Drosophila melanogaster: one gene and its partner. The protein of the gene in region 1 interacts with the protein of each later gene in a biochemical or structural test. Each region holds a gene or a part of one and is shown on either strand. Other genes may lie near its edges.

The links.
Region 2: of the proteins of Tnks (region 1) and PI31, one has a biochemical effect on the other in vitro, tested with the Drosophila melanogaster proteins (one study listed by BioGRID).

What each region holds. Positions count from the first base shown.
Region 1 is NT_033777.3:25,658,152-25,663,302, forward strand, and holds the start of Tnks (tankyrase), read right to left. Parts: upstream 3,136-5,151; 5' UTR 2,637-3,135; coding exon 2,441-2,636; intron 124-2,440; exon of another isoform or gene 47-123; coding exon 1-46. Other genes in the region: RASSF8 (Ras association domain family member 8), read left to right, coding at 4,264-4,335, 4,483-4,856, 4,999-5,151. UniProt on the Drosophila melanogaster protein: Stimulates proteasome activity, probably by ADP-ribosylation of PI31. Modulates 26S proteasome assembly.
Region 2 is NT_033778.4:11,966,575-11,971,829, reverse strand, and holds PI31 (proteasome inhibitor 31 kDa), read left to right. Parts: upstream 1-1,714; 5' UTR 1,715-1,804; intron 1,805-2,979; exon of another isoform or gene 2,980-3,090; intron 3,091-3,175; exon of another isoform or gene 3,176-3,350; 5' UTR 3,351-3,378; coding exon 3,379-3,546; intron 3,547-3,598; coding exon 3,599-3,993; intron 3,994-4,050; coding exon 4,051-4,300; 3' UTR 4,301-4,487; downstream 4,488-5,255. Other genes in the region: ADD1 (ADD domain-containing protein 1), read right to left, coding at 1-105, 224-692, 755-848.

The DNA of each region.
Region 1 (5,151 bases):
GCGCCGCTGTTCAGCAGGAATTCAACCACTTCCCGGCGTCCATAACCTGGTAAAATAAAAACGAATAGGTTATTAGATGAATGTCATGTATTGGTCGATGGGAAAGCCCTACAAATGAGCGAGAAGGTCTTGCCTTCGGGGATTTCAACCTTGTCCATGGCATACGAAAAGAAAGATATGTTTTCCGCATTTGCAGAACTGTTGCCCAAGGAAATCTCAAAAAAGTTTACATTAGCTTATGTTCAGTTGAAAGTAAACCTTACAATTAAATGATAAATAATCAAAATAAGTCGCATAATAATCAATATAAACGGATGACAGTTGTGATGATCCAACCGAGCCCCCGATTTATAAACATACTTTTGGCAACTTTTGCATTGTCAATGCCAGAAATCTGAGTCATCTTAATAGGGTACCGTAATTGGTCACACCAGAGATGATCAACATAAAATAAATGTTTATGATCGTACTTATTGCTACGTTTATAATGAACTGCAAAGAGAACCGGATCGAATTACAAATCTGGGCAAACAAAAGCTTGAGCCACCCACCAAAAAGTGGTTTGCGAAACGTTTGTGCCGTTCACTTTTCTGTGGGCAAACAATTACGAAAGTTTTGCATTAAAAATTAATAGAATGGAAAACTTAATTCCAACTGTTGCACTTGGAGCGTCAAAGCGCCAATTGCTCGCCACTTGGAAGTGTGATCCTTGGGACTGTGAACAATATATGAATAAAAACTGAGATATATGTATGCAATTTCAACTTGATTTGCAACTACCACCCCGAAGGTTAATTTGCACAACTTTTTGGCCAGCGATAAACGTATGTTTTAAGTATCTCGAATATGGCCAAGATATGGAGGGGAAGGTCTCTCCGGGTTTATCGACTATATTTACTATATATATGTACACACACACACATAAATGCCATGATAACGGGCCAATGTCAGAAAATCTGATAGTCGCAAAGAAGCGAAGTAAAGCGATTGCGTTTTACTATGTGTCACGATTGCGGGAAAGGAAGGAGGAAACGTGAGCTCCGTTTTGGTTTCCACCGCAACAGGTATTGTAAAACTTCGAGTGGCCAAAAATGTCATACATTCAACGAGGTGAAAAGCAGCCGCAATAAAATATATATAACTTAAACGCCACCCGACAATAACAGACCCCTCGAAGATCTCACTTTTTGTGCACAGAACGTGACAAAAAGACAGACGAACATAATAATGGAAAACCAGTTTATAGAAAGAAAGAAAGACCCACCGCCAGATAATAAAAAGTGCTCAAAACTTAAAAAAAAAAAGAAGTCACAAATGGCCAAAAGGCGAAATTGATATGCAAGGGGCGTCGAGTGAAACGGTTAGAAAAGCTTGATGGCATTTTTGGGGTATTGTTCGAAAGGGGTGAATGTGGATGGGGGATGGGGAAGGGAAAGACGTTTCTTTCCACTTTTGATTCGATGCTGCCGACTGACTAAATAAATCGCAATGCATAAAATGCTAACTAGGCCAAAGTCACAACAAAAGACGCGAAAATATTGAGCCAAAGACGTCAGCAGGATGGCGCATACAACGCAGCAGCCACAACAAGTCGCCCCACTGCCCACTGCCCCGCCCACCGCCCACTATCACTGTCACCCCCACAAAAACAGACACAATAGCAGTCGAAATAATAGTTAAAAAACATGCATGCTTGTATTACGAAGGATTAATCATTTGATCACTCACAGTTGAAAAATGTAAATAAAATAAATATGTTAGCACGAGTTATTTTGTTTACCCAATCTAATATTTAAAGGCCAAGCATCTAACTAAACCCTGCGAAACAGGTTAGCTATACAATCAGACCATATGTTGCAGACCTTTATCTATGGGATTCTACGTGTAAACAAACAAAGCTAATCAGATGATATATGTGTGTTAAACATTCAATTTCCAGTGCTGAGACAGTGAAAGCTCTCATTGAAATGGCTAATTATGCAGTGCTATTATCTCGACCGCAGCTGTATGAGTCTTTTTTGAAAATAGAAAATGCTTAAATGCAGCACGCACGCACACATGCAGCGGCAAAAGGGGCAGCACGGGGGATTCCCCTTTTGAGAGGGGGTCTTCCGGAAACAAGCCAAACATATAGAACACATAGAACGGTGGTGGAAGGAGAAGCAGAAGCAGAAGAGGAGGCAGAGCCAAAAGCAGAAGCGACATGGAAACTAGGTCAACTCTCGACGCCATTGGAGCAGGCGAGTGTCCGACCGAGAGCGACGACAATGACGCCCGTCACACCCAGGCGCAACTAGCTCAAGGCCAAATCCGCACTGCAGCGGGGGGTTTGGGCGAGTCCTTCAACCTTTCGTTGGGCGAATGGTGGGGTGGGCTGCCGTTTTTAGACCGTCCTTGGAAGGGATTTGGATGGGATCTAACCGCATCGCATCTCACTTACCCGCTGCGAAATGCAATGGTGTGGATTTGCGTCCCGCCGTATCCCTGGCGTTCACGGTCTGAGGCGTTATTAGCTTCTTCACCTTGGCGATCTCGCCCGTTTTGCAGGCCTCGAAGAGCTCCCTCAGCGGATCGTTGGCCATGACCGCATCGAGATTAACGCTCAAAATGGCCCGACTTCGGCTGCTGTTGGCCATTGTTGTGCTTGTTTGCTACGCTTTGGCACACACACGCCCCGAAAAAAATAGGCAACAAAAAACAAGCGCAATATTCAGTGGGCTTTCGGGTTTTCCACTCCCAGTCCAGTTCTCTCCTCCAGCAGTTGCTCTGCCCGTCCTACACAAGCCTCGCCGTTGTCCGTCGCTGGCTTGCCCGCATCCTGTATCCAGGTGTCCTGCCTATGCCGCAGGAGCAACAATTTGCCACTGGCTGCCACGCGACCAGCCCTCGTTTTTGCTTAATATTTAATGCACAATTGCAGACCCAAAATCAATAGGATTTCTTTGGTTCGACACAGCACGGTTGCAAGGATCGCGGTTGGCTACGATTCGTTTTTACTGAGACTGCGACCAACTCTGGGACTAGCTCCCTGGTACTTGGCCTCCAAAGCTCTGGGCACGGACGATTATTTCCGGATTAATTCACTGCTCCGCGAAATATTGCATTGTTTTGTGACCGAGTAAGAGTGACCGTTCGCGGGGTGGTCGAATATTCCAGGTTGAGTCAAGCGGTGTGACCAGGCGACGGGGCAAGCCATTCTGAAAAAATACTGAAGTCCTCGAATCACATAAGCTTTTCCATTAATTATATTTTTTAAATTTAATAGCTTATGTTCTCACAAGGTTTTACACAAATTTGTGCTTCAGTGTGCACTCACTATTTGGTGAAAAGCGAAAAGACGTTTGCATCTATATTGTGTTATAAGAAACAATTTTTTTTGTTAACCAAATAGACAATATTCAATTGGTGGTACAAAAATTAAGATCATCATTTTTATGAGCTTAAATTAGAATTCTTAAATTAGAAAAGGCCATGTAGGAATTTCAATTATCCTAATATAAGCACATAAGCCTATTACTAGGGAAAAAATCTCAAAAAAATTTTTTAAAATAATAGCAAGTACCTGTTACAACAACATGCAATCCCAATTGGCATTGCTATCGATAGCTTGAAAAACACCTGTTTGGCCATCCCTGGTTGGCTGTTGGTGCAATCGATTTTTGGCATCGACTGGATGCCCATGCCAACAACAATGTTTGCTTTTAAAATTTAGATTAAATCCGTTAAAAATCCGTGAAATCAAAACAAAAGCAGTGGAGCTGCTTCACAACAAGATTATCGTGCTTACTAGAAAGTGAAGAACCACGGAGTTACCGCGCCGGAAGTACAAAAGTAATCACCAAATCGGAAATCCGAAAAGTGAATCAGAATTTTTCTAGCTCACACACACACGCGCGCATACCCGCACGCCCAGCAAACACTCATGCAAGCGTATGGAACCAGTCGTGTTGTTGTTGTTGCTGTGAATAAGTGCAAGTGAAGAAGAAGCAGAAACTGTGATCGGAAAATTAAGCAAAAAAGAAAAACAGGCGAGGAAAAGTGGGGTTGGGGAAAAGCAGACGGAAAAGTGGAAAGGCGGAGTGCAGCTAACACGCTTCGCTGGCTGCGCGACAGCAGAACGCCAGTCAAGCGCCAAAAACCATTAGTAGAACCCCATTTCCAGCTGGAGCGGCACAAGAAAGCAATTTTCTGGTAGCAGAAACACCAAGAAACGAAAATAATTGGCCGATCTTTAGAGACTCGACTCGACGACAATTAGCCGGAATGGAGCTGAAAGTTTGGGTCGAGGGCATCCAGCGGATAGTTTGCGGCGTTACAGTGAACACCACATGTCAGGTATGTGAGCTACAGCAGAGGTCAAAATAATAGCACTATTATCTTGTTAAAGCATTTTACACTGCTGCAGTGCTGTTAATGTGACCCGAACTGTATGCGCTCTGTTTGCTAGTCAGTTTGCCCTAATTATCGTTTTATTTTCCACAGGATGTGGTTTTTGCTTTGGCCCATGCCACTGGAAAAGTGGGCAGATTCACTTTAATCGAAAGGTGGCGCAATAACGAACGCCACCTGGCCCCCAATGAGAATCCAATGAAGCTGCTGCTCAAATGGGGCGAGTATGCAAATGATGTGCAGTTTATATTACAACGTTCGGAAAACAAAACACAGCAGCAGCAGCAGCAACAACAACAGCAGCAGCAGAACAATAATAATAATAACAACTATGCTGTGATGACAACAACAAAAAAGCCGCTGGGGCCGAACAACAATAACAATAATAAGCCAGCGCCCACTTTGCTAAAGCAAAAGTCGAACGTCGAACTCAGCTACCGCACAAAGGAATTGAAAAAAAGTTTCGGGTGGGTGGTTTTTATATGCTAGTTAGTTTGGAAACTACCCCTTAAAGCGCTTACCTAGCCCTAATTGTTAATAGGCTAACAAACTGTGTTTAAATATGCACCTGTGCGGCTACCATCAACTGACAAAACTTGTCTCTTTCAGGGGCCACGATGCCAAGCAGTTTGACAACATTGGAATCGTCAAGGGAATTCCGCAGCAGCAGCAATTGCAGTCACAACAAACGGCCATGGGAGCACCGGCGAGTCCACCACAGGAGCAGCTGACACCGCAGGATAACAATAATGTAGCACCACT
Region 2 (5,255 bases), on another chromosome or scaffold:
GATAAGCTGCTGGTTTTCGACTTCGCCAAGCGACAGCAATTGCTGTTATCCTTAAGCATTTGACGTCGGGCCTCCACCTCGGGAAGCTGAAGGGTTTGTAGGGCCCTGCATTACATTAAATAAGAAAAGTCAATTTAGAAAGAGATTAATCACTATGATAAGTGAATGAATGAAAAGACTTAAAGATGCCATAAGCATAGACAAGTAGGACTAAAAACCGCACCTTTTCTGCGTCTGAAGATAGTTGACCAGCGCCCAGTGTTGGGCTCGTAGTGGCCACAGGATCTTGGAGGTGCAGCTGAAGCAGTTCCAGTTCTCGTTTTGCTCGATGTCCACGATGACGCCCTTGGAGAGGTTCTTCACGATGCACGACTTGCAGAAGACGTAGGGGCAAGTGGAGCAGCAGTATACCTCGCCGCCCTGTCCGCACCAGCGGCAGTACAGCTCAGAGCCATCCTCGCCCTTGGAGAACTCGCCGCTGTTGTAAAAATCGTGGCACTTGACGCAGTGCGTCACCCGCAGTATGGGATGCATCTTGATGTTGCTCTCGGCGGCGGGTGCTGTGCCCAGGTGAAGCTTGCACACGGTGCAGTGCACCTTTCGCTGGTTCACCAGATCTACGTTGGGGTACATCTTCAGGTAGAAGCGGCGCTCCTCGTCTGAAAGCGAGGGGTGCATCTCGAACTTGGAGCCTGCGTTGCGGGTATATGCAATTTATATGCAATTTTCCACTTGGCTGATGCCCAGTACTCACTCGTGAAATCCGCATCCAATTTGGCCAGTGGCGATGGCGACGGCGTCGCTACCTTTGCCAGGCCACTTTCGCTACCCGGAGCACTGTTACTCATGACTTCTGTTCCGTATCCGGGCCTCTTGGACTAGAGCACTGCGATCCGCACCAATTTTTGTTCTAAAACGCGAAAAATTCACGATTTTCTGCTGCCGCCGCAGAAAAAAGCGGCGCGCTTATCACTTTTATGTTTGGCAACACAATAACAACAGGGCTGCAAGGGACGCGTGTTTACAATTATTTATTAGTTGGGCAAACCGGGAAAAAATATTATTGGGAGATCCTGTACTGAATGCTTCGCAGCAAGTCTCCTCGAAAATGTGTCAGATTTTTTCACCCGAGAAAGACAGCTGAATATTCCGCATCAAATTCAATATGGCTGCCCCTTCGGGTTCCAGCCGAAGTAGGCTCTACGAAGTCTATATAACAAGTTCGGACCGATACTCTAAAATTTTCTTAGGAAAACATGGCTAAAATTTTGATCAAAAAGAATATTTCTTTTTTTTTGGCATCAGAGGATCATTAAATTAGCTATAATATCACTCTAATATCACAACATTTATTGTAAATTTTTTTTAATCATTTCTATCGTTTTAAAGGCTGATAAATATATTTTATATTTTAAAGAATGTTTTCGTATTCGTTAGTCTTTGCAAGCCTTGGCAACCCTAAACTTACTAGTCATCTCTTTTACACTCATCGTCCGTCCATAAGAATCCGAACGCGTTAAGAAAGAGACAGCATATATGTGTTATTTACGAAAAACAAGAATTTTTTAAACAAATCAATATTCCAAATTGCTTTATATTTTTAACGTTTTAATTTCTCCCGCATAAGAAATATTTGAGATATCTAAAGCATTTGGCGAACTGGTTCCAGGCAATCGATATATGTGAGACCGTATAAACATATCGAGTTAACAGAATTAGTAAATCATGACTTCACATAAAATCATTAAAACAAGTTTTCAGAACGCAACAACTGATCTTCAGACAACTTTTAAAAATAAATCAAGTAAGATTTTGGAAACATAAATTCCACAATGTCAAAATATCAGTAAAAATAACTTAAAGTAACTCGAATAACTTGAACGAGGAAATCTTAATGAATAGTTGATCAAAATAATCAGTCAGAAATAGGGAATTTTATAATTGTACACATATTAGTAAGTCGTAAGGTTTCGTATTATGAACATGTAGATGTTGTACTAAGCATTTCCTATTACTATTTTAAATATATAAATATATAAATAGACATTTATATATAAGAATTTCTTTATTACAAAGTCAATTGATAGTCGCTCATCGTTTCTATGTTACAATTACTGTTTACTTTTCTTGACTTCTTCAAAATATTTAAAATATGAACATATGGATCACATTAGAAATTTAATAAATCTTTTATGTCTGGTATTTACGATATAAGCAAATTTATAACTAGCCCGAAGCAAATTCTGAATCCTTTGAAATACCTTGACAATTATGTTGCTAGTATTAAGTTAATGTTTTTATTATTTATTTATATATTTTTATTAATGTTTGTTCTACTCTCACAAAATTTTGTATATTAAAAGATTTAATATATGAAATCTGTATCGATAACTATATCGATAAATCACATTGAGATATTAGAAAATTGAAAAAGGCAATAAATTTTTTCCAGTTTTAATAAATAGTGATGGGAAACTATCGATAGTTGCGCCATTCGATATTTTCGATGTTTGGAGAGCAAATTTTCGATATAACTTTAAAATAATAAAAATATTAGCAATTTTAAATGTTTTTCTCAAATAGGTATAGTTACCTTCCAATATTCTAGAGGATCTGTATTTTCCTCTGAGTACTTCGGATTAAAAAGCATTACAAAATTTTTCAATGTCCTACGAGATGGAAGCTTATATCGCGTATCAAATGCTTTCAGTATATCGCGAAATCCATTGTCCTCCACTACTGAAAATGTGCGCATATCAGTGGCTATGTACATACTTCATGATAACTCGCCGAGTTCTGCTATCCGACGAGAACTCGAGTCGTAGCTTGGAGTCACACATTAAAACTTTTCCACATTGTGAATATTTCGCGGTCTTACCATCAGTTGATTTAACAAAAATGAACAGCACTATCGATAGCGACAAAAAACCATCGATAGTGGCTCAGAAAAGTAAATATCCGATACCTCGATAATATCGATTATCCCAGCACTAGTTCTATTTTCACAAAGATGCAGCAATATTAACAAAGTCATTTATAATTTATTATTATTTAAACAATATAGATCCTTTTAAAAAACATTGAGCTAAGGTACGTCCAAAAGATTTAAAATAAAAATTGAGAATGTGGTGGTAACTTGCTAAAAACAACTTCTCGCTCTTTCCTCATTATTTTGTTTACAAAACTTTTAAAGCAAAGGTTGTCTTGGAAATTTATTCAGTATTTATACTTTCTGTAGTGGGCTTCAGATATTGAAACTGACGTCGCTCCAAGCAAACGAAATGTAAACATATTTATATATACTAAGCATAAATTAGAACGTTCCATTCGTTCTGTTTACTCCCACCCAGATTTTGTAAAGGATTATCGGTGGCCGCAATGGAAAGTGGGTCGACTGCCAAGACGGGCGATTTCTTTTACGGTTGGGATCTGCTGTACAAGACCGTTAAGGCTGATGTCTCCAAGAAGTCAGACCTTTTGATTGCCCTCGTCCATTTTCTTTTGACCAAGCATTACAACTTCCGATGCGTTGGCGTTGGCGATGATGTGAGTATGATTATGGCCACGCATATTAGTGAAATCATCTGGAATTCCATAGAAAACCTTGCCGGAGGAGGAGGGCAGTGAGCTGCTGCCGGACAGCTGGAATGATGACGATACCAAGTACTCGCTGCGCTACGTGCACGATAAGATGCTGTATTTGCTGCTGGGCCACATCACCGAGGGCTCCCTGCTGATCAACCTGTTGGACATCAACACTAAGAAGGTATCCAACATCTGCGTAGAACCAGAGACCCTGGTACCTGAGGTCAAGGGAGGCATCACCACCATAATGCCGAGTGCCTCAGAGATTGTTGAACGCTACCGTAGGGAGCTTCTAGACCCTGTATTCACGGGAAACTCGCGCGAAGTTACCACGCAGACGACCAACTCACCACGCCCCATTGGATCGGATCCAGATCCCTTGCGCATCGGCGAGCCAAGGCGTGGCGGGTAAGAACACTTGTGGATAGTTTTTTATACACTCGTTAATCGTTTCCCCTCGTTTAGATCCTTCATTCCAAGTGCATTCGAGCCTCGCCCTTTTGGATTTCCGGACGTTGGACGCGGGGATCTCGATCCACTGGGTCGCGGTGGTCATGGTAACCTGTTCAGCTTTCCATCACGCCCAAATATGGGCCCGGGACCCGTGCCCCGCTTCGACCCGTTCAATCCCCTGAACCCGAATAGGCCGGGACAGGGTGGAATCAATCCAGATCATATGCGCCCACCAGATTGGAATCCCGATTACTACATGTAATTACCAGGAATGCCATGTATAGTGAGCAATTCAAATCTTTAGTTTAAAGCAATGAAAAAAGTTTTCATTTTAGAAGACCAAAATTAAACGGATTGTTTTAAAAGATTATTTTTATTACGTTGCATACACAATACAGAATATTACAGAATTTTACAGATATAAAATAAAAAACAGCAGCCTGTTAGACAACGCTTGTTTGAGTTTTTACTAGAAAAATTCGTAGTTAAGAACATTTATCAAGTAAATACGCAAACAGGCCAGTTGAGTTGACGGCTGCTCAAGAGAAATTTACAATATACTTAAAAGCTTAACTGAACTCGTGATGTAATGGCTATTCATTCATTTCGTACAACAGGGTAAACAAAATTGGCTCAAGTGCGTAATCTCAAAATTGCTAGGGGAAAAGCGCGAAAAATCACGGCACTAAATGTTACAATGGTTTGCGATTACTCTTGTTTTTTTTGTTGCTGCTTATGCCTAGCCTAATATTATTTTACCATAATATTTTGCTAAATTAATATAATGTAAATAATATTTCAAGCTGTGTGCAGCCGGTTGACTTAAATTAGCTCTGCACGGTAGGCGTCGTTCCCTCTCACGCCGGGATGTGCAAGTGTTGTGGTGTGTTTTGTGCCTTGGCCGCTCAAAATCCGGCTAAAATCCCGCCCAGGTGCGGTGTGAACTACGCTCAGTCCCATTCCCCGATGAACATGCGTGGCGTGGGCACGTAGCCGCGCGTTGGCAGCGGTAAATGGCGTCCGTAGATGTGATTGTAGGGTGATTCAACAAGCTCCGAATCTACAAGAAGCACAGAAATCCGTGGTTAAAAATCGGGTGCGTGTACAATTGTCGGGATAATTATGTGTGCTGGGGTGGGTGGATTCTATTGGTAGACCCAAGCGGGTACTTGGTTGTAATCTGGTGAAGGTATTATCTGTTTAATTGCATTATCTCT